4 linked regions of the Ovis aries genome follow. The protein of the gene in region 4 purifies or fractionates together with the protein of the main gene of each other region. This does not show direct contact. Links are inferred from orthologs where the notes say so. Each region holds a gene or a part of one and is shown on either strand. Other genes may lie near its edges. The genes, in order: HDAC2, DHX9, DROSHA and DDX17.

Region 1 (5,875 bases), on a different chromosome or scaffold from region 4:
ACCAAGTCTTTTATTTTTTTTTAATAATGGTTAGGCTAGTACCTTCTTTTCTAGTACCCTCTTTTCTTTTTTAAACTTTTTATTTTGTACTGGGGTATAGCTGATTAACAATGTTGTGAGTTTCAGGTGAACTGTGAAGGGACTCAGCCATATATATACATAGCCATTAGTTTCTGAACCTTCACTATATAAGAATCAGAACTTTACCATTTTAATAAAAATTAACAAAATAGTAAGAGTAACACTATCCATTCAAGATCATTGAAACAAATTAGCCAAAATGTGCTAAATTTTTTCTTTAGATAAACCAATGAACCAAAGTTGTGAGGCACTGATTATAATACAAACATAAAGCAATATGTTTATTATGACATTTGTTTTGGCTTCTGGCTTAATTTTAGATATGTAAACAAAAGTGCCAAGTGGGGTTTGGGGAGGGATGAAGAGCAAAGAAATATTCCTAACTTTAGGTTCTGAACTATAGACTTTTAAAATTGTTTTCTATGGTAGTATTTCTTTCATCTGTATGTTGCAAGATTTTAACAAATGTAAGACACTATAAGAATTTCATTATTAAACTAGGAAATTTAAGTATCAATTATTATCAGCAACAGAAGTATTTAGGAACTAAATACTGTGAGATTAATCCACCACCAGGCCATTAAAGCCAGATCAAAAGGCACTCTCATTTTCAGCTAAAACAGCAATGTGAGATAAGTACTCTAGTACACCCACTTTCCCATTTGGAAGAAAAAGCATACAAAGATAAACGTTTAAAAAGCAAGAATAAATGCCAGAAAAGAAGACAAACAAACAAACAAAAAATACAGAAAACTCAAATTGACAGAGAAAAGAAAAATACTAGAAAAATCCTACAGCTAAAGGTTTAAGTCCTTCTTACCTCAATCATAGCTAGAATTTCTGGATGTCAATCAGTACACAAGAGCAGACTGGAGCCATCATTGTAATACATTGTGAAGTTAAAATTATAAAATGATAGACAGAGAACAGTAGCCTATAGTGGAGTCAATCCACAAACAAAACAGAACTAGATGTGCAGACATGCTACAGATTCCGAACCCTCTCTAGCAAAAAAAGAATATGAGAGCCAGCTTACTCACATAACTTCAATAGGATAGAAAAAGGGTGTTAGCCCAGTACCTCTGAATCTGTTTTCCACATGCTACAGGGTAAAAATTAATAGGTCAACTAAAACCTCCTCACTGTTACCTGCATATAGGTAGCAGGTATCCAGCAGGAAATGCACCAAATACAAGAATCCAGGTATTTAAGATACTGCATTCTCTAGCCACGAGCAGCTCAATCTAGCAGGGAGATAAATCCCTTCCCATCTTTCCACAGCTTTTATGTTTCTTTCAAATAATAACAAAGTCTGTTCTCTGAGCCTTTTCAAAATGGGGAAACTGGTCTAAGGTTATATAATGTGAGTCTTCTTTTATGCTTTATTCTCATCAAATAAACTTACAGGTAGTTACAAATTAGCTTAGAATTTTGGCTCTGCTCATGGGCTACATGTGGGTCTATAACCACTTTGTTCTCTCTTACTCAGTCTAGATCACAGTGCAATGTTCAATATTTTAAGCCTCTGTTGCCAAAAAGAGATAGTTTCCTGTACTGTAAAAGCAAATGTGACTAATAACATTTAGAGAGCTTTAATTAAAAGTTTACTTACGTGGGGGGAAAAAAAGTCACCTATTTATTTAGCACACTCACCTATTTCTGATACTCATGTAAGTATTTCAGGATCTTATAAAAACTGCCTGGTTGCTCACTTTCAAAAACTTACAATTAAAACATCTATAAAAAAATAAATCTGACCTGTTTTTTTGTCCTCCGTTTCCTTCTTGTCTTCTTCGATTCTAGCTTTTTTTGCTCCTTTCTTATGATCAGTCACATTTCTACGGCCGCCTTCTCCTTCGTCCTCAGAATCTGAGAACTCTTCATCACAAGCTATTCGTTTGTCTGATGCTCGAACTGACACATTAAAAGATTTTTAATAAAATTTAGACAAAGGCTTTACAACAGGTTTTACAACTGTTAAGTGTACGGCTCTATAGAAGAACTAGCCGGTCATATTTAAAAGTAAGGATAACAGATTTTAAGATTACAACAAAGCGTGGCTTGCTAAACACTGAAACTTTAGCTTTAATCTAGGAAGAAATAATTCAAAGGAATATGAAGAATATTAGAGGTTCTCATTGGAAAAAAAAAAAAAAAACTTTGGAGGAAAAAAATATTGCTTTCCTGATACGAAGTAGGAGTGATATCTTTAAATAAAAAGTAACATTTCAGAGCTGAGAGGGGAAGAAAAGAAAATAAGAAATAACATTTATGTCAATTATGTTAGAATGTCTATACCATAATAGCATACTATTAGGCTAAAAGCCTACAAATCATATTAAGTGGAATTAGATTGTAGAATCAAACAGAAGGTGCTTAATGTTATTCAACTTACTCTACACCTAAGTGGTTAATTTGTAGAAACTGAAATTGCTGACACTCAAATCAGGCTCTGAGACAAAGAAAGTTAAATCTACACAGGATTAAAAAAATTGTGAAAATAAAGACAGTAATAATAGTGTGCTCATGAAAACAGGTGTAGTTCTTGGGCAACCAAAACCTTCAGTCTGTAGTATGCTTTTAATAAACCTGAAAAATGTAACAGAATACACATCAAAGGACTATCTTACTAGAAATTCTCTTGTCTGGATCTTCTCCATCTTCATCTCCACTATCTTCATGAACTGCATCTTCTGGAATAGCTTGCATCTGGACGCCAGGTGCATGAGGCAACATGCGTAAATTTTCAAATAAACGCTGTCTAAATTACAACATGCACAGTTATTAGAAAAAAATATTTTCTTTCAAGTTCCTTTCCAATGTTAAGAGGAAACATTAAGCAAAATAAATCGCATCTTTTACCTAGTTTAACCTAAGAATTAAAATTGTAACATTTACTGGGTACTGATACTTTATCTATTAGTAACCTGTTTAATTCTCAAAATTTACAAGGTAGATACTAAATTTCATCCCCCATTTCAAGGATGAGGAAATATAAGCACAAAGGCAAATTAACCTGCCAAACTTCATGGAGTTAGTGTGTGGTAAAAGAGGGCACAAACCCAGACCTGTGTACTAACAATGTCTCTCCAGACTCTATTTCTTAGAGAAAGGTTTATCAAATGTTTCAATGAAAATAAATTTCACTTTTGTGTAAAGCAAGAAAATATACAACTTATAGTGCCCTTTTCAACAAAAAAGTCCATTTTAACTAACAGAAAATGGAAGTATTTTTGAGCTATGAATCTATTATACATTTTCCATTATTTTATAAAATTAAAGAAACCAACAATCTTAAGGTTTCAAATACTTTTGACAAAAGGAAATACCTTACGTATAAAGTTAAACTGACCTACTGCACATGACCTTCTAAAAGCTTCAAAAGTCACATTAATAATGTTAATCAAATCAATTTGATGATGCCTTACTTTATCTTTTCCATATATTCTGGAGTGTTCTGGTTTGTCATGTTTGAAGGACTAATATGCAGTTTGAAGTCCGGTCCAAAATACTCAAAATAATCATTATATGGCAATTCTATTAAAAATAATGAAATAAAGTTACATATTAAAAGCTCAATCCATACACAAAATCCAGACTCAAGCTGTAAAATATTTCCAGAGAAAATATTTAAAAGTGAATATGAAATGAGTTTAGTGACTGCTCTCCTATTTACACAGTTTTGGAATCAACTCTAATGACGTAACCATCTTTTTCTACAAACTGACAGCTCATCCAATAAGACATCATATAAGAACACTTACCATTGGGAATCTCACAATCAAGGGCAACTGCAGTCTCATATGTCCAACACCGAGCAACGTTGCGGATTGTGTATCCACCTCCCCCAAGCATCAGTAATGGTAAATTGAAAGTTTTTACAACTTCTACACATTTAGCATGACCTAAGACAAAGAAGATTTGGGTAACAATATATTTACACACTGTAACAGCTGGGAAAGAAAAATTTAAAAAGATAACAAACAAAATTTTACTCAACCAAAATAGCTTTTCTAATATTTAAAAAACAAATAATACGTAAAAATTTTAAGAAAATTTCTAGTCTAAACTTTCATCGAACACCTTTTACACAATATACAAAACTCATTAAGTAGACATAACTGGCTATGTTAACAAGCGTCCTTGATGGAAAAGTCAAATCTACAACTATATTAAGATTAACATATAAATATAACACATTTTTATTAATGTGATATGAAGATCCTATGCTCTTATAAGGTTACTTGGGGGAAAAAAAAAGTGAGGTTACAATGAAACATTAAGTACAACCTAATCTAAATGATGTTTTGTCACCACTTTCCTCCATAGACATGAACAAAAAAATTACGTAAGACTATACAGGGTTCAGTTCAGTTCAGTTCAGTTGCTCAGTCATGTCCGACTCTTTGCGACCCCATGAACTGCAGCACGCCAGGCCTCCCGGTCCATCATCATCTCCCGGAGTTCACTCAGACTCACGTTCATCGAATCCGTGATGCTATCCAGCCATCTCATCCGCTGTCGTCCCCTTCTCCTCCTGCCCGTAATCCCTCCCAGCATCAGTCTTTTCCAATGAGTCAACTCTTCACATGAGGTCGCCAAAGTACTGGAGTTTCAGCTTCAGCATCATTCCCTCCAAAGAAATCCCAGGGTTGATCTCCTTCAGAATGGACTGGTTGGATCTCCTTGCAGTCCAATTGACTCTCAAGAGGCTTCTCCAACACCACAGTTCAAAAGCATCAATTCTTCGGCGCTCAGCCTTCTTCACAGTCCAACTCTCACATCCATACATGACCACTGGAAAAACCATAGCCTTGACTAGACGGACCTTAGTTGGCAAAGTAATGTCTCTGCTTTTGAATATACTATCTAGGTTGCTCATAACTTTTCTTCCAAGGAGTAAGCATCTTTTAATTTCATGGCTGCAGTCACCAACTGCAGTGATTTTGGAGCCCCAAAAAATAAAGTCTGACACTGTTTCCACATCTATTTCCCATGAAGTGATGGGACCAGATGCCATGATCTTCGTTTTCTGAATGTTGAGCTTTAAGCCAACTTTTTCACTCTCCTCTTTCACTTTCATCAAGAGGCTTTTAGTTCCTCTTCACTTTCTGCCATAAGGGTGGTGTCATCTGCATATCTGAGGTGATTGATATTTCTCTGGGCAATCTTGATGTCAGCTTGTTTCTTCCAGTCCAGCGTTTCTCATGATGTACTCTGCATAGAAGTTAAATAAGCAAGGTGACAATATACAGCCTTGACGTACTCCTTTTCCTATTTGGAACCAGTCTGTTGTTCCATGTCCAGTTCTAACTGTTGCTTCCTGACCTGCATACAGATTTCTCAAGAGGCAGGTTAGGTGGTCTGGTATTCCCATCTCTTTCAGAATTTTCCACAGTTTATCGTGATCCACACAGTCAAAGGCTTTGGCATAGTCAATAAAGCAGAAGTAGATGTTTTTCTGGAACTCTCTTGCTTTTTCCATGATCCAGCAGATGTTGGCAATTGGATCTCTGGTTCCTCTGCCTTTTCTAAAACCAGCTTGAACATCACGGAGTTCACGGTTCACGTATTGCTGAAGCCTGGCTTGGAGAATTTTGAGCATTACTTTACTAGCGTGTGAGATGAGTGCAATTGTGCAGTAGTTTGAGCATTCTTTGGCATTGCCTTTCTTTGGGATTGGAATGAAAACTGACCTTTTCCATAGGTTATTTTAGATAGTGGTATTATGGACACTTTTCTTAACTTATTTAAATTATTACTATTAAAAACAACTTTAACAAATTTCTTTGTA
Region 2 (5,875 bases), on a different chromosome or scaffold from region 4:
TGACCTCATGGACCACAGCCTACCAGGCTCCTCCGTTCATGGCATTTTTCAGGCAAGAGTACTGGAGTGGGGTGCCATTGCCTTCTCCTTCTTAGAGACTAGCATTACCAATTCAGCTGCTGTCCAAGCCAGAAACATGGTAGGATCTGTCTTCATTCCCTCACTACACTGCTCTCCCCATTTTAACCCATAACCAATACTTACTGACTCTATTGCAAATCTTTCTAATCTAGTTACTTTTCATTTCAATTCCCCTGACTCTAATTCAGACCACCATTTTATTCACACAACCTAACCTCTTATTTCTATCCCATCCTTACTAGTTTTGTCCTTCACAGAGCAGCTTGTATGCGAAGCCTTCTTGATCACCACCCCTTCCTGACAGAAGTTTTATCTCCTAAACATCTATGAGTACTGCATTTATACCATGCCTGGGACACGTATTTTCCATCTTTCTTTCTGAAGATTCTTTCTCAATTGTTCTATACAACTGACCTTGTGGGCAGACCACAGTCATGAGAGCACCATTTCAGGAGCCATCCTGTCTGCTTGAGAATTCAACTCTACCATTCACTAGCTGGAAGATCTTGGGTTTTAACTTCCCTGTGCTTAGTTTATTCATTTATATTAAAAGGGATAATGATCTACCTACATCACAGGTGGATCAAGTATTAAAGCAAGCGAATATCAGAAAAGCACTTAGCACAGTGTGCCACAGCTAAGTACTATGTTTGATTAATTCAAAGGAAAAGTTAACTCAGTTATAACCAAAATGGAATGCCAGAATCCATAAAGCACACAGCATTTCTGTATAGTAAGTTAACACTTTAAAACCAAATGCAGTTAAGTGATTTTTGATGGGGAGATTGAAAAATATTTTTGAATGACAAATTTTAATGACTGTATATTAGATACTATTATTTTAACACATTTTTGTGTGTGACTTATAGCTATGTTCTTAAAAGATACATGAAGCATACTAATGTAAAATGTCATAACACCTGCAACTGAATCACAAATGATTCAACAAAAGTATGTGTGTAATATATATATGTATCAAAGCAAGTGTCACAAAATGCTGACAATCATTGAAACCTAAGTTAACAGAGTTCACTGTACTACTGTTCTGCCTTTTCTACAGGTATCAAAAATTTTGAGAGTAAAAGGCAGTGGGCAAAGAAAATTTTTAAAGGTGAAAAAAAATGAGGCAATTAGAACACTTTAAAGATTAAACTCTGACGCTTTTCATTCGAAGCAGCAGCAATTTAAGCCCTCATCATTTTTCCTGTAGAGATGGCAAAGCAGTTGGGCCTGTCGCTTTTTTTCCTGTCATGGGACCTATCCTGGACTCCATATGTACTTCCAAGGTCTCTATCTTTAGCATGCACTGGTGTAACATATCATTAACACTCTTTCTCTGAATGTGTTAACCAGAACTAAACTTCATTTAGAATGTGTATATAATTTTAACTTAAATAACAAGGCCTCCATAAACTAAATGTAGAGTAAGATTACTGTCTCTTCTGCTTAGTTCAAAGAAAGTTACTGTGGTACCCACCGTGTAGTGCCAATCATAAGGTTGATACCAGCAGCTGAGGGCCGAGAGATCTGGCGGATTGTGTTCAGCATACGTTCATTAACAGGATCCAACTGGCTGATGATACCAGGCTGTTTGGTTACTTCAACAACCAGAGCCTCCATGGCTGCTCGAAGAGCAGTGATACAGGCAGCAGCTTCATGAGATATTTGCAATCTTATCCTAAATTAGGGAAAAATGATTAAAAATGAGAGGAGGTACACACAGAAAAAGACTATTATCTCCCAATTTCACCCATGGCAAGTGATGGGATAAATTTAACTTCTTTTCCAAATGTAATGGCCCTAGATTTAGCAAACACAGGTATGAAGAGTAACAATAAGTTAAACCAACTTCTTAAACTTCACTGCTAGCTACTGGCAGGAGTTGTGAACCATGAAGTCTACCAAGTGAAGTACGCTTAGCCATACAGATCACTTCAGCCTCCAATAAAAGAATGAAATGAGAGACTACTAACCATTAAGTTCTGTCCAATTCTGCCAAGTGCTTACTACACAGACACCACTTGTCTCTAAGCAATATGGAGTGTACATAAAAAAAGAGGCATCCAAATTCCAATTAGATTTTAACTCCTCAGTATGGTATTCACGGTGGTGGATGGGGCTCCAATGAGTAATGCAGCAGCCCCCAACCTTTTTGGCACCAGGAATCGATTTTTGTGGAAGAAACTTCTTCCAGACTGGGGTGGTGGTGGGGATGGTTTGGGATGATTCAAGTGCATTACATTTACTGTGCACTGAATTTCTATTACTACCACATCAGCTCCGCCTCAGGTCATCAGGCCTTAGACCCCAGAGGGTGGGCACCCCTGATTTACTGCATCTGCCTCTACAAGTATAATCAATTTGAGACTTCACTATCAGCTACAAATCGTAAGCCTAGGATATACTCCTCTAAGAAAAGACAGTGTTACACAACACATTGTTTATGCCATCGAATTCTGCCATATTTCACAAATAGATTAGCAGCTGAATTCCAGTACATTTCAATTCTAAGAATTCAGGTGAGTTCACATCTGAAAATCCATACCAGTCGTCTACAACCACAAGCTGTCCATCAGACATAACTTTCTTGGAGGCAAAAAGCAGCAGCTGCAAGGGGGTGACTAAGGTCATGCCTTTAGCAGAGATGGCCCGAGTTCGAATCTGAAGATAAAGAGGCAAGAGGAAAAAGTTGACATTCCAACTGTCAATCAACTACCATATAATAATAATGAACTAAAACCCATGTCCCCACTACACATTAATAAAGTAATCTGGATTTTAAATGTAGAAGTTTTCTAAACCTCCCTTTTCTTACCTTTTCACCAAATACAAAGAAGGGAGATGGGTACTTCATGTCTTGGCTGCTAAAAGGACAATTAACAGATGACTTGTGGATAAGTGCATTACGCCCTTCAGTGGTGAGAATCTTTCTCTTTTCCTTATGGTAACACACATTGGGGTACACACCAAAGGCCAGGAGAGAGATAACAACATCCAGATTATTGTCTGGTCCAGTGTTAGTAAACACTTGTGTCAGTAAACACTCTGTAAAGAGGAAGGAGAGTAAAAAAAAAAAATCAAGTATCTGGCTAATTCTAACATTGAATTTACCAAAATTAAATGACAATTATAAGAATTAACTCCTCCCTCATTCTCTTTTTCAAATAACCCATCTCACTGCCTCTGTTCTTAGCATTCTCGCACTCAGATTAATGCAAGGAGAAATTTTGCTGAGTCTTCACAATTTTAGTAAAATTAAAACATCTGTTTTCTTTTGTAGACACAACTAAGCTTGAAGTACTTAAAAACAAATGCCCCAATTAACCATCTCCTCTCAGATTAGAGCTAGACCGGTATGACCAGTATTTCACCTGCTGCTCTTAAAAAGCTGTTCCTTCTACAGAAGATGACCAAGAGGAACACACTAGAAAAACGCTGCTGTTTTCACCCAAAAAATGCTTTGTGCCCAGGCCATCACATGGAAAATATGATGGTAAGAGTGTGGATAAACTTTGTTCCAAAAAGCCTGTATACCAGTCTTATAAACTTCTGAACTGAATGAATGTGGACAAGTAATTTAAACCTCTGGCCAGCTGCCTAACCTGTAAAATGGAGGTCATATCTGCATCTCAGGAATTTTGTAAAGAGTCTATCATACAAAAATGTCCTATTTTCCTTTGATTTTTGAAAGTACAAATTTAGTCAGTTTACAACAGAAGAAAAATGTTTAGTTATTTAGATATGGCCCAGAAGGTAGTCCTTCTCTCTCTCAACTAGCTATTTCTGGTTATGTGTTCCAACTCTCAATATTTCAGAAAATTAACTCTGTCTCAATCTAGCTGGAGAAGTACAATTGTTCAAATTCACACAAGAAATGAACAGTTGGATTACTATTCCTATATCAGATATCAAAGTCCTCTATGATTAGCTATCCATTAAAACTTACTCAAAGCCAATTAAAATTTAATGCAATAGAGTTTACTTCACACCTAAGAATGAACAGATCAGCAAATTAACACATCACTTCAGAAACCACTACCTGAAGTAAATTCAACAAACTGCTCATTCTAGAAGTGCAAAAAGCTAGGCCTGTTTTTTTACAAAGTAAATGGATCAGAAATAAAAACACACCCTTCCACCTAAAAAAAGACAGTGATGTGTAACTGACTCATTTTGCTGTACAGCAGAGCCTAACACAACACTGTAAATCAACTACAATCCAATAAAAACAAAACCTCCTAAAGCAGCACAACTCTCAAAACATCTATTCATCATCTGTGTACAAAACTGTAATTTGAACATTATAACCTTTTGCATCCTTAAAAAAAATTCAATTAATGTGAAAAACTGATTATCACCAGAGTTCAAAAAACTAAGAAATAGCTAGGAATACAAAAAAAACAAAAGCCTTATGTTTAAAGCTAAAATATACTGGGACTGTCAATGTGAATGTTTAATATTAAGGTACTTTAGATATGAGAATCTTACCTTCTGGAAATCCAGAATTAATGAGAATCTCTTTGAGCTGAACTTTGGCTTCCCAGGTCATTCTTAGTGTTGCCATATTGAGTCTTTTGTGCTCACAAAAACGTATCTCGGCTTCTTCTCCACCCATTCTAAACAAACAGGTTAAGAAGTTATGCTCAAAGCCTAAAGAACTAGACACAGACTACAAACTAGACAGTTCATTCAAATCTTACAAATCTTTGTCTTTCAAGCCCATACCTAGCATCATCCCAAGCCTGGAATACTGATAAAAGGGCCACATGATCAGAAAATCGGTTTCCAGCAAAATTTCGATGGATATAACCCAGTCGCTTCCCTTCACTGATGAAAGGCTCTGGAAAGCAGGTGGCCGCAGAGATGGTGCAAATAGCGTCTCCCACACTGAAAGAGACGGGAAAACTCGGTCCAAACCACATTCTTGTTCCAGCAACTCGGCAGTACAGTCAATTGTGGGTCAGGGTATTAGCTATCATATGGCCTTTTTAGTACTGAAATTGGTTTAACAAATAATTTTACAGCTGCTCTCCAGATGCAAAAAGAAAAAAACAAAATGAGCTTTGATGTTAATGGATGCTTATTTACCATAAATTGACCAAGTATTATATTTTCCTTTCCCATTCTCCCTCATTTTACTAAATCTCTTCATCTTCAAAATTTGTGAACAAAATATACCTGTTTTCCTAACCTTTCTCTTTCTTGGATAGCTGCTTAACCTCCTAAAGGAAATGCACTTCTCTTGATAAATCTGTGCTCTTCGTCTCAACAAGTTAGGCCCAGGTATCCATCTACTACAACAGTTTCTTCTCATTTCACACTTTGCTCAGTATCTCAAGCATGCCACTTCTCTACTGAGGAATATTTAAGCTTTTTATTCTATGTGGGCCCATCCTGTTTCTACTGGGAGGGGGATGAAATTCTGAAACTGTTTTACCATTTAGCTGTAAGCAATAAAATAAAGCACTTACTAGAAAATACATCCCATTATCATCATTTTGCCAAAACGAGGCTCAATGGGGAGTTTAGCCAGGATGCGTCCTAGAGGAGTCAACTCATCATTGGCATCTAATGCATCAAGCTCTGTGGGGAGAGATTGCTTTGTGAGCAGAAACAGTAATGAATACCCCCTCAACCCCGGGAAAGATGAAACTTAAGTTTCAGATACTGACTGAAGTTTTCATCATTTGTCAAGCCAACTGCCAGCATCACGCCATATCAACAATTCTCTTCACTCAGAAACAGAACAAAATTAACGAAGAAAGCCCTAGAATTAGGCCCTATAGGCTGTAAA
Region 3 (5,875 bases), on a different chromosome or scaffold from region 4:
CTTTTAAGGCAAGAAAATTGAGACACAGAGAAATCACATCACTTGCCCGAGATCACATTTCAAGTGGAACAAGGATTCAAACCCAGGCCAGCTGGTTCTGTTGTGCTTTTCCCCACCATGGACACTGCCTCTCAGCGAGGGAAACATAACAAAGGTGGGCAGATGAGAGGCAGATAACATGCAGGAAAAGGCACACCGAACGTCTCCTCTGCGTACAGCGTGTGTTAGGGGTAAGGACACAACGTGGTGAGAAGCACTGATCTCAGCACCTCCTTGGAGTCTCAGAATACGTATGTGAAAAGATGTAAGAAAGTGATGGAAGCTTTGTGAATAGAGAGAGAGCTTCAAACAGAGCTGGACTCTGGCTGGAGTTTCCACACCCTGGCAGTGGAGAGAGCCACAGGAAATGCCTGCCCATTAGATCACGAGGCATGGGAACAGGCTCCTGCTTTTGACAGGAGGCTGGACTGTGGTCCCTTCTGATTTTAGGACAGGAGTCTATGGGGACACAGTGGCCAGCATGCCTTGCAAATGAGAGATCTCTTATGTATTCTACTGAATATAACTAAGGGAAAAGAAAATCGAAAAGAAGAAAGTTACATTGCTATGTATTTGCTGACTGGAATTAAGGAAAATAAAATGGACATTAGGAAATTTTACTATGGGACTCTCAAGGACACATTCCAAAAGTCTGGTATTAAACAATAAAAAAAGAGCACAGGATCTCAGTCTAGTAACTTCTGACTCACCTAAATCTTCATCTAGCTTCGTCTTGGGAGGCTCCCATGGCGGTCTAGCAGCTTTGGCCTTCTCTTGCCTGCTCCCCAACTCTTCCTCAAATTTGTCATATAAGTCACGGAGCCTACTTGTTCCAACTACAGTAGAATCTCCCTTTGAAAAATAAAGGATCAATATTAGGAACTATATTAATAATAGTCATACCAGAGAGACTTAAGAACTCACCGATAACCAAAGATTTTAACAGCAAGATATCATTTTTCAACCCTCAATTTAACAAACATTTTAAACACAAAATGCCCAAAGTGCTGGCAATGATGCTCTGAATTGCACACACATTTATGGCTGACACAGTCCTCAGGTAAATGCACTTTGCCAACCCTTAGAAACGTTAGAAATCTTCATCTATGCCCTTTTGATACAACAACCAAAAAATCATAAATCCCTCAGAATTCATGACACCTGATACCCTCTTAGAGAACATATACCCCTCGCCTACTGAAATTTACTGATGGTGTGTATTCCACATTAACCCAGTGACCCACAAACCACACACGCACCCCATAAACACAGGGACACACACACACACACTCTTTACAAACACAGGGTTCTGCAATACATTCCTGGAGGAAGTTCCTCACTTTCCCTTACTCTCCTCCCAGGTTGAAAATCACTTTAAACACCCACCTGAAATGTACATTTGACATTTTCAAAAGGCACCTTTCCAACATAAAATGAATATTCAATCATGAAATCTGTAGTTATTCCCAAAAGAGGGTGTCTGCTTTCCTTAGCCCCACCTCATTACTGATACTGGTGATGCCGGGGTGGCTCTGACACTTAGGCCCTCTCTGCACCAGCAGTGCCCAAACAGAAGCCAGTGTTGGCCTTCTGGTTTATCAGCCTGCCTTAGACACTGGAGTTTTAACACACCCACAAGAAAGGTGAGGAAGAGCAAACGCTCTGCCCTTTAAATGCTCTGAGCCTCAGTGCCTTCAACAGTATTTCAATAATAATGATACCCCTGGGGAGCCATTCTCCCCTTCCCCCATGCTCACAGAACTGGGATTCCCTTCAGGTTTGGGGCAGGGAACTTGGCCACTGATGTCTCTATCCTAATCCCTGGAAAGTGAACATGCCACCTTTCAGTGCAGAAAGAACTCTGCAGACGCGATTAAGGCTACAGAATTTGAGGTGGGATTATCTGGGTAGACCCAACTGAATGTGAGTCTTTAAAAGTGGAGAGGCTCTCACAACAGCAGTCCGAGGTGCGACAGAAGAAGAGGCAAGAGATCTTTAAAGCATAAGAGGGACTCGACCCACGCTGCTGGCTCTGAAGATGAAGGAAGGGGTCCATGGGCCAAGGAATGCAGACGGGCTCCAGAAGCTGGGAACAGCCTGCCAGACAGCAAGCAGACAAGGGCCTCCATCCCACAGCCGTAAGGAACTGAACTCTGCCAACAACCTGAATGAGCAAGAAAACAGGTTGTCTCCAGAAAGGAGAGCAGTCCTGCCAGTACCTCGATTTAGCCAGTGAGAACCAAGTTTGACTTCCGATCTACAGAACTGTGAGCTAATAAATGTGCGGTATCTTAAGCCATGAATGAAGTCTGTGGAGATGGGTTATGGCAGAGATGGAAAATTAATCCATTAAACACAATTCTGGGTGAAAGGATGGAAGAAGAGATCCCCGGGCACCCTGGGCTCCACCCAGTACTGCCCTCTGCATCTGTGTCTGGGCAGAGGTATGTACGGACACGATGCCTGGGGCTCCCGTGGGCAACCTACAACAGTGGTGGATCCTCCGGAAGACAGTAATACCCACCTACGGCCCTGCCATCACTAAGGCACTAAATACATACCAGCCACCACCTCCCTCCAGATGGCTTGTCAAGGAAAACAAACCCAGCAAGCTTAACCACGATCAGTTAAGTATTCTCATTTACAACAACATTCTGAAGTAACAGATGCCTTCTTTCCAGGGATGTTTTAAGAATTCAGGGAGGTAATCTGAGACACGTGGAGCAGTTTCACCAACACGGCTCCAGGTACGAGCTTCTCCTTGCCTATGTCACCTGAACTATGACTTAAGACCCTGCTTTTCTTTATCAAGTAAAATATCATGCCAACAAGAGAGACCTCTCAAACCTTTTTGCCAGAGACGACAGTCTCCTCTCAAGCTCAACATAGGTAAGGGCCCAGTCCAAGTTGAAGCTGTTTTTACAAAATTCCAAACAACAGAATGCTCTCTTATCTACCCCACCCACTAAATCTAAAATCTCCAGGCTCTTCTGTCCTAAATCTGTACGTATCCCTTCCTTCACTCATTGATTTCATCAGTGAACATGACTGTGTGTCCCTGCTATGGCAAATACACCTAACTTAATGGGGATGGAGGCATAGTGCCTGTTAGGGGAGAGAGAGAGGAAAAAAAAAAAAAAAAAAGGCGGGGGGAGAGTGATGGAAAATAAAATGGAGATGGAAGAAAGAGGAGAAGCGAGCACACAGAGGTCATGGGGCCCCCAAGGCAACAAGGCACGGCTGCTGAGCCCCAGAAGCCCCATTGTGAGCAGCACATGTGCTGACTCTCCTGAGAACCCATCCAAGGTGACGACACTGCGACTCCACAAAACCAGCAACCAGCACGGGAAATCTGCTATGGGTACCTTTGGTCACGGGCAGACTTGCAAGAGACAAACTCAATTTTCCCTTGTTTCTCATTTTGAGGGAAACACACACACACACACATACAGATACAGAAGGCATAACATAGCTATGAGTGAGAGCTTACAAGACCACCAGCATCAAGACTAGCAGTGGCGTCAAAAATCAGAATGAAGAGATCCTTTCATACACCTACGGCACTCTTGCCTTTTGGAAAGCAGCTTTTGTCTACAGCAGTGGTTCTCAACCAGGGGGAGGGGCGTTCTCTCACTCCCCAGGGGACACTGGGCAACGTCAGAAGACAGCCTCGGTTATCACAGTCACGAGGGTGCTACTGGCATCCAGTGCACAGAACCCAGAGATGCTGCTCGACATCCAACCATGCACCGGGCAGGCCCCACCACAGGGAACTATCCAGCCCAAGACGCCAACAGCGCCGAGCTTGAGGAGCTCTGCTGCTGCCGCTGCTAAGGCGCTTCAGTCGTGTCCGACTCTGTGCGACCCCAAAGACGGCAGCCCACCAGGCTCGGCCATCCCTGGGATTCTCCAGGCAAAAACACTGGAGTGGGGTGCCACTGCCTCCTCCATGAGGAGCTCTAGTCCACAGCTTCTCTCCTACCACAGACCTACCACCTGGTCCATGGGGTCACTGGAGTAGTAATTTTCTGAGTGGGTGCAGCGAATCCACACGGGCTTAAGGAGTTCTTCCTCCTCCTCCTCGTTTTTGTCAGGCAGCGCCTCCTCGGGCTCCTTTTCCTTGATGGAGGTATAATTCTTCTCTTTGCCAGAGCCCTGGATGTCACTCCACCTGTCTTTTTCTTCCTCCCAGCGAGCTCTCTTCTTCTCCCTGCTTGGGGAGCGACTTCAAAAGGGGGCAAAGGGAGGCTATTAAAAATGTTCTTTTCTTGTAAAACTTTTCTATTTCACCTGTTTAGCTCATTTGTCACCTAAAAGGAAAATGTCATGCCAAACCAATATATTCATTTGCATGAAAAACCAGTGACCCCCTGACACCGGTCTGCTGACATCAGAATCACCTGAAGTTATTTGTTTAAAAATACAAATTCCCAGGCCCTACCCCAGATCTACTTACTGATTCACAGTCTCCAGGGGTGGGGCCCAAGATTCTGTATTTTTATTAATCTCCCCAGGTGATTCTGGTGTGCATACGGCAGGTTCAGGAGCAACTGGCCAACCATAACTCCTAGAATAGAAAGATCTCTGGGAAATATATGGACATCTCCATCTATAGACGATCTCAGCATTGAGCACACTAATTCTGAATTCTCCACATCTCACTTTGCCAAGAGAAAAAAAAAAAGTCTTCACAAAACATGATCTCCACTTAGCCATAAATTTAGCCTGAGGACCAAAATCCTAGAGTGAACCAGTTATACCATCCCTCACCATTTCTCTGGAAGCCCCTACTTGGGTATTACTGCTTAATGAACCACCAAGTCACCTAATTCTGATCCCCACAATTACTAATAGTAACTCAATTAAAAAGGAAAAAAGCAATTCTATCTCCTTGAATCGCTGGAGCATGAAATTTGCAAAGGCTCAGCGTATCGATGTGCTTGGAGGGAAAAACCCATAGGATAGATTTTTAAATTAAGCCCAGAACATTTCAGTGGAACCGTACAGACTTGGAGAATCCAGCCAAGGAGACAGACTGTGATGTGGTGCCAGCTCGGCAGCTCTACTAACAAAGTCACTCTTACCCAAGAAAGTCTACATCTGGGTCAAAGTCACAAGTAAGCTTCTCCATCAACTCTATCACTCATTTCTAATTTTACAGCAGGGAAAATCTAAGTATAGGTGTGTATACAACAGGGGGAAAACAGTGAGTGATTAGGAGTATATATATTACTTATTGATGCAACTTCTAAATATTACAGTGTACATCAAGAGGTTTGTTACTAGAAAAAAATATTTACTGTGAAGTAAAATGTATATATGTTCACTGAAGAAAAATAAAACAAAAATCACCTGTAACACCACTCAGAAATAACAATTATATTTCACAAATATGTTAGAAGATATAGATATATAAACATACAAGTTTCTAAAAACAGGAACTCCGTAGCCTGTTTTCCTCAACAAAGTGGTAAACCAGGAACATCATTCTACTTCAATACATGTACATCTGAACCATTTTTAATAATGCATATCATTCTTTTATATGTATATACCGTAATCTGACAAATCTGAGCATTGTCATTTAGGATACTACCTTTCTTCCCCCACTGTAAACAATGCTACTGTAAATACACTTGTGTTCTTTGCAGACTTATCATATTATTTCACACACAAAGAGTGTGTACTTTTTAAAAGGCTTCTCTACAGTTAAGAATTACCAGTTTAGATTACCATCAAAACTGTATGTGATTTCCCATTTCCACACATCCTGTCAACATGATTGTTTTTAATCTTTTCTATCCTTACAAAGAGAGCATCTCATTTAATTTGTCAC
Region 4 (5,875 bases):
CCACCAGAGTCCACTATTTTCCTGTTCTATTTCATTTACAAAACCTGGTAAAATAAAACTAAAAATTCTTAAATGCTCTTTTTTTCTTACCTCTCTCCAAATCTCGAATCTGGGGACCTTTAGGAGCACCTCCATAGATGCAAGTGCTCTTCAATCTGGAACATTTGCCATAGTCATCGGCCACTTGCTGTACTTGCTGGGCAAGCTCTCTGGTAGGAGCCAGAACTAGACACTAAAGCAAACAAATCATTTGAGACACCACCCCAAGTTTAAGGGGAACAAAAAAAGTACAAAAAGGTTACTTAATTCTCTATTGTCTAATCTGGGGTAGGGGACTGGGAAGGCAATAGGTGTAAGATATTGCACTGTAATGTGGCTAAAAATTATATCCCTAACATCTTACAGAAAAACCTGAATGAATCTTTTGGTCAATCCAATTTGAGAACTAATATTTGCCATGTAGTATGATGGCTGACTTTGGATACGATTCATTAACGTGTGCTACATAAGATTTATAGACTGTATTACCTAGTTTTAACTAAACAACTCACAAAATGAGTAAGTAGCTACAATATTCCTGTAACAAAACCAGGTAAGTCTCAAACTTTACTTAATTATCAGAACAAGAAAAGAGCAGAGCTGACATTTTTCTGACATCTAGCTCAAGCTCTTGGCCAGGCAAATCTGGCAAAAACACATTTATACACAATGTGACAAGAAGTTGGTCAAATAAAATTTAGACACTTTGAAACAGGAATCATATATGCTGGTAACAATAACTCACTTGGTATATCAATCCATTAGACATTAGTTAATGATAATATTGCTAACTCCGTTAGCCATATGAAATACATTAAAAAAAATAAATGCACTACTTCTTGTTGTGAAGCATTAAGACATACTGTATAATGTACATATTTATAAACATATAGTGAGTGCAAGCTCTATTAAAAAAATGTTAAGAAAGTACATTCAAAATGTTTGAAGACCACTACTGAAATCTTACAGTAAATAGCATTAACTGAAAATGATCAAACCAGAAAATGGTGCTCGTCTATGAACATTTACAAAAGCATTACTTAAACACAAAAAATAAACATCCCAAACCTGACTTATATCCACAGAGCAAGAATCTCATTTTACACCTTTGTATCCCTCATAGTATCAATGGGCAATTAAGCAATGCATCTGTATTAAATGCCTACATATGAAGGTAACAGGCACAGTAGTTAAAAGGAAGACTGATTCAAATTCCAGCTCAGCAATTTAATTACTGTCTGACCCTGGGCAAGTCACTGTGCCTAAGATTTACCAGTAAGACAGTATTTCCTCCAGATATGGAAGGTGGGGTTGCGAATGAAATCTGAGAACACATGTAAAGTACAGTGCCTGAAACATAATAATAAACTGTAGTTATTTTTCGAAGTATACACAAACTGAAATACACTTACAATTGGGCCATCTCCTCTTTCCAAATAAGGCTGGTGGTTAATATGAACAATTGCAGGTAGCAAATACTGGAGGAGAAAAGAAGGACAGTCTTATACCAAAACTAAGCCATTATATTAACTGTTCTAAGTTATCACAGTAATTGATAATGTCTAAGTAAAACCAGGAAAGGGAAAACAGAATTCACATCTCTTACATATATATGCAACGCAAATATGAACATAAAATGCTTCCACATATTTCAGATAGCTAAAAAGCTGAAATATTACTTCCACTATTTGAATTAGAATTTTATGCACTGAGAATATATGTTAATATACAACAGCAAAATAAGTTACCACAATATGAAAAGTCTTCCCTTGTGGGTACATACCGCCAACGTCTTCCCAGAGCCAGTCTGAGCAATGCCCACCATATCTCGGCCACTAAGAGCCAAGGGAAATCCCTGGCACTGAATTGGAGTTGGTTCTGTAAAGTGCTGATCCATCAACACATCCATTACGTATTCTGTACAAGAACAGATATTATTGCTTTTAGGTAAAACTAAGAAGCGAACCTACAGCCAAAACAAATTATACATCTCTCCAAGAGAAGCAGTAGTTTTGTCTTCAGTTACTGAAATTCAGTTATTTGACCTGCTGACTACTTCTCAAGAAGGCTACTGCCATAGCCATCTACCCTTATTCTCGAAAACTTGAAAACCATTGGTCTAAAGTATCTAAGGTACAAGGCATGGGCACCTAATAGCCACCTACTGCTTATCTAATCCAAATTTTATCCAGGTAGAAAGCAATTTTATTTTGCTATTTTTCTGAAATGTAGAGGCAAAACCCCAAGGAAAGATGAAAACCAACCAACCAATCAAACAAAAAACCCTGCAAAAGACCCAAAGAAGTTCTAAACTGAGAACACATGAGCATTAAAAAGACAACTCCCCCTGCCAAAATACTTGAAGAACTTTTGTGAAAGGTTTCTGTTTGTCTTTTCAACAAAATCCTGAGCTGGGTCAAAACCTTTAAATAACTTATGAGCACAGTGACCATTCAAGCTAAATTAACAATTAATATACTGGACTGAAAAGCACTTACGTGGGAAGTTAGCATGATGGAAGGCAAACACAGGTTTAGGACAAACATCTCCCCCTCTCACTGTAATCTCTTTCTTTCGGCGTAATTCATCAACCTCATACTATTTAAGAAACAAAGTAAGACAAATCAGTAACCAATTTATTCTAAACGTGCAAAACTTTATGTTCCAATATAGCATAACAAGGATCAAATTCACAATTACAATGGAAAATATGTTTAACACTTCTTACAGTGTTTTTCATGTATGTTCAACTTCACCCAACTTTCTAAGTCAACGAAGCATGCAGTAGGTTTCATTTTCCACATGAGAACAGTTAAATGAAATATAACCAACGTATGAGAATCAAGTGCTTTCTCTTACAAGTATCAGCTTTCCTAACAAGAACCAAAGAAAAATCCCCACCACACCAGAATAAAAAATACAAGAGTAAACTTTGTGTATATATATATATATATATGTATGAGTAAACTTTGGCTAATTTATCTACTTGGTTCATTACTGTACGTCAAGAAAAGGTAAATAAATACCGCCCCTAAAACTTACTGGAGTCAGTCTTGCCACTTCTGGATGTTCGACATAAAAATTCTTCTCAAACTTGGGGAGCTCACTCAAATCCCACTTCTTTTTACGTAGACGCTCCCCAGGATTACCAAATTTCTTTGGGGGAAGGCCACCACCACCTCTTGCTCCAAATCTAGAAACATCAAAATTTTCAGTTTATTAGTATTTTTAAAGCAAAATATTTCAGGTGCCATAAAAACATGCAAAAAGATACAACTCTTAAGATACTACCAGCCCCCTCCAAAAAATATTTGTGTAAAGTACTTAAAATAGTATCTGCCATAGTAAACAGTACAAATTGACATAATTGTATTCATTCAACAAATAGTTACTGGGTATCAACTATAAAGTGGTGCTAGAAATACGCGGGAGCCTGGTGGGCTGCCATCCATGGGGTTGTACAGAGTTGGACACGATTGAAGCGACGCAGCAGCAGAAATACTAACGTGAACAGAAATTGCTACTCTTATGTAATATTCTGAAATGAAGCTAAGTGAGGACATTAAGTTTAAATTAGGGCAAAACTATGGACAGGTAGAAAAAGTTATCTAAGGTCTTTAAAACAATTTAAAAATCATTCTTTTCGCTTTATCTTGCTTTCACAACAAACAAATTCAACTGGAGTACAAATATGGCCATTAGCCAAACTTGAAATGTTCTGTTTCCTAAGAAGAATCCTAAGATGGTCTTCATTTCTGTATTTCAACCTATTAAAAATGCAGGACATTGTTTTGGTGTACAAATACACAATGTTTTCATCCCATTTCCTTAACCACTACACCAAATTTAATTCTCCTTTTCTACTCTAATTCATTCATAACATCATCTTACAAGTGGTTCCACTAGTTTACTACTCAACAGGCAGCAGATGTACTAACCATTCTAAAGCACATCAATTTCCTGGAACTCAAAATGCTCTTAAAATTTCTCGGCTTAAAGAGCCAGCTAGATATTTCTCTAAATACAAATATACAAAAACTGATGGCAGGAAATTTGGGACCATTACGTATTTACATTCAAAAAGACAGAACTTGGCAGATTCTATTTATATTACTGTTGATCAATACCAATCAACACCTTCAATACGTCCTTAGGCTTAAGACCAAATAGGAGACTGACCCCTCCTCCCTCCCTCTTAGGTGAAGTAACTAACACAGTTCTATCAATAAATAAGGTTCTCTACAAATAAAAAAGCCAAGTCTTTAAACTGTCAGTCTTGCAAAGAAAAATGACCAAAGACTAACTTTCAGAGGTTGGCTGCCTAATTATGTGGTTCTTCAGAGAAGACCCTAATGCTGGGAAAGATCCAAGGCAGCAGACAGGGGAGAGAGAGGATGAGATGGTCGGATAGCACCACTGATTCAAAGGACACGAATTTGAGCAAACTCTGGGAGATAGTGAGGACAGGGAAGCCTGGTGTGCTGCAGCCCACAAGGTTGCAAAGAGTTGGACACAATTTAGTGACTGAACAACAACATACGTGGTTCCTAAAAAATGCCATTTCAATGCTGCTGCTGCACTCCAATATTACTCAGAACTTAAAATTAACAACCTAGAAGAAAACAGAACTTTTGAAAAAAATGTCCAAGACTTAATCAAGATAGCCCTTATTTTTCAAAGTTTTTCCTTTTCCCCTATTGCCTTGGCTATTTAACCAAGACATATCATCCTTCTCTAAAGATATATTGTAATTTGAAACATGGGATTCTTAAAAAAATACACTTTCTACCACCTTTATAAGGTTGACTACAATATCCAATAGAGCCTTTCCTCTTGTAGAACCTGAGTGCATTTGTATAATCATTTAAATATCCATATATCCTAACCCCTTGCATACTATGCTGCTCCTTAATGTTTTTGAGTATTAATTTTGATTTGCAATAAATGCCAGTTTTCAAAGATTTACACATTAACATGCAGAATCATGTACAATGCATTTGGACTGTACATGTATATACACTACCTCACTCAGTCCCCTTTCAAAATAATCCACTTCAGCTCTGTACATTTAAGAACAAAAGAATAGCAATTCAAATAACAAAAGAAATCTCATAGTAAAGGTGGAGTTAGGGCACAGACTTTACGAAAGTGCCATTTTGTTTGAAACATTATTTAAGTCTTTTCTTAATATCTGATACTTAAGAGTCAATATGGGATAAACTAAGTATGGATCAGCAATTCACTTTTTCTGCCTTTCAGATAATAAACCTTTTCTTATTAAAGCATATATATGGTAAATATAAAACATCCATGGTAAAGAAATAATATTATCAGTATTTTGATAGCTTCTATGTGCCTATCTCAAGTTTAGAATCCCCATCATACCAATGAGTACCTCGAATTTTAGCCATTCCCTTGTATTCTGGTCTTGTCATCTGTTAGTTTACTTACGTTATCCTTCTAGGACACCTTGTATTTTTACTTAATATTATGTTTGTGAATCATACACGCTGATATAAATTTTTCTTTTTCACTGCTGTACTGTATTCTATGGGACGAATTTATCCAGACATTTGAACTGTTTCTAATATTCTGTCATAAACAACACTGTTATAAACATGGATACCAAAGTACATGTACAAGGGTTTTTCTAGGCCTATGAGTCTAGGGTATAAAGCTTGAGAGGAATTCTGGGTCATTTTCATTTTACTAGGAAACATTAAGTTCTTTTTCCTAAGTGGCTGTATTGAAATTCATTATAAATTTGGCTATACTGTGAAACACTAAGCAAACATTCCACTTATAGTCTTCCGAATTTAAAGCTAAAAGTATTTCC

Evidence for each region.
Region 1: the proteins of DDX17 (region 4) and HDAC2 purify together in Homo sapiens (affinity purification with western blotting; 3 studies listed by BioGRID, with this or other methods). This does not show direct contact. The link is inferred for Ovis aries from reciprocal best matches to the Homo sapiens genes DDX17 and HDAC2.
Region 2: the proteins of DDX17 (region 4) and DHX9 fractionate together in Homo sapiens (co-fractionation; 3 studies listed by BioGRID and IntAct, with this or other methods). This does not show direct contact. The link is inferred for Ovis aries from reciprocal best matches to the Homo sapiens genes DDX17 and DHX9.
Region 3: the proteins of DDX17 (region 4) and DROSHA purify together in Homo sapiens (co-immunoprecipitation; 3 studies listed by IntAct, with this or other methods). This does not show direct contact. The link is inferred for Ovis aries from reciprocal best matches to the Homo sapiens genes DDX17 and DROSHA.

Annotation. Positions count from the first base shown.
Region 1 is NC_056061.1:23,759,996-23,765,870, reverse strand, and holds part of HDAC2 (histone deacetylase 2), read right to left. Parts: intron 3,987-5,875; coding exon 3,846-3,986; intron 3,619-3,845; coding exon 3,510-3,618; intron 2,843-3,509; coding exon 2,712-2,842; intron 1,996-2,711; coding exon 1,840-1,995; intron 1-1,839. UniProt on the Homo sapiens protein: Histone deacetylase that catalyzes the deacetylation of lysine residues on the N-terminal part of the core histones (H2A, H2B, H3 and H4).
Region 2 is NC_056065.1:63,381,393-63,387,267, reverse strand, and holds part of DHX9 (ATP-dependent RNA helicase A), read right to left. Parts: intron 5,665-5,875; coding exon 5,553-5,664; intron 4,969-5,552; coding exon 4,807-4,968; intron 4,698-4,806; coding exon 4,570-4,697; intron 3,127-4,569; coding exon 2,897-3,126; intron 2,743-2,896; coding exon 2,627-2,742; intron 1,760-2,626; coding exon 1,559-1,759; intron 1-1,558. UniProt on the Homo sapiens protein: Multifunctional ATP-dependent nucleic acid helicase that unwinds DNA and RNA in a 3' to 5' direction and that plays important roles in many processes, such as DNA replication, transcriptional activation, post-transcriptional RNA regulation, mRNA translation and RNA-mediated gene silencing.
Region 3 is NC_056069.1:42,148,212-42,154,086, reverse strand, and holds part of DROSHA (ribonuclease 3), read right to left. Parts: intron 4,607-5,875; coding exon 4,496-4,606; intron 4,265-4,495; coding exon 4,033-4,264; intron 892-4,032; coding exon 750-891; intron 1-749. UniProt on the Homo sapiens protein: Ribonuclease III double-stranded (ds) RNA-specific endoribonuclease that is involved in the initial step of microRNA (miRNA) biogenesis.
Region 4 is NC_056056.1:216,000,507-216,006,381, forward strand, and holds part of DDX17 (probable ATP-dependent RNA helicase DDX17), read right to left. Parts: intron 3,233-5,875; coding exon 3,082-3,232; intron 2,638-3,081; coding exon 2,538-2,637; intron 1,957-2,537; coding exon 1,823-1,956; intron 1,518-1,822; coding exon 1,452-1,517; intron 233-1,451; coding exon 91-232; intron 1-90. UniProt on the Homo sapiens protein: As an RNA helicase, unwinds RNA and alters RNA structures through ATP binding and hydrolysis.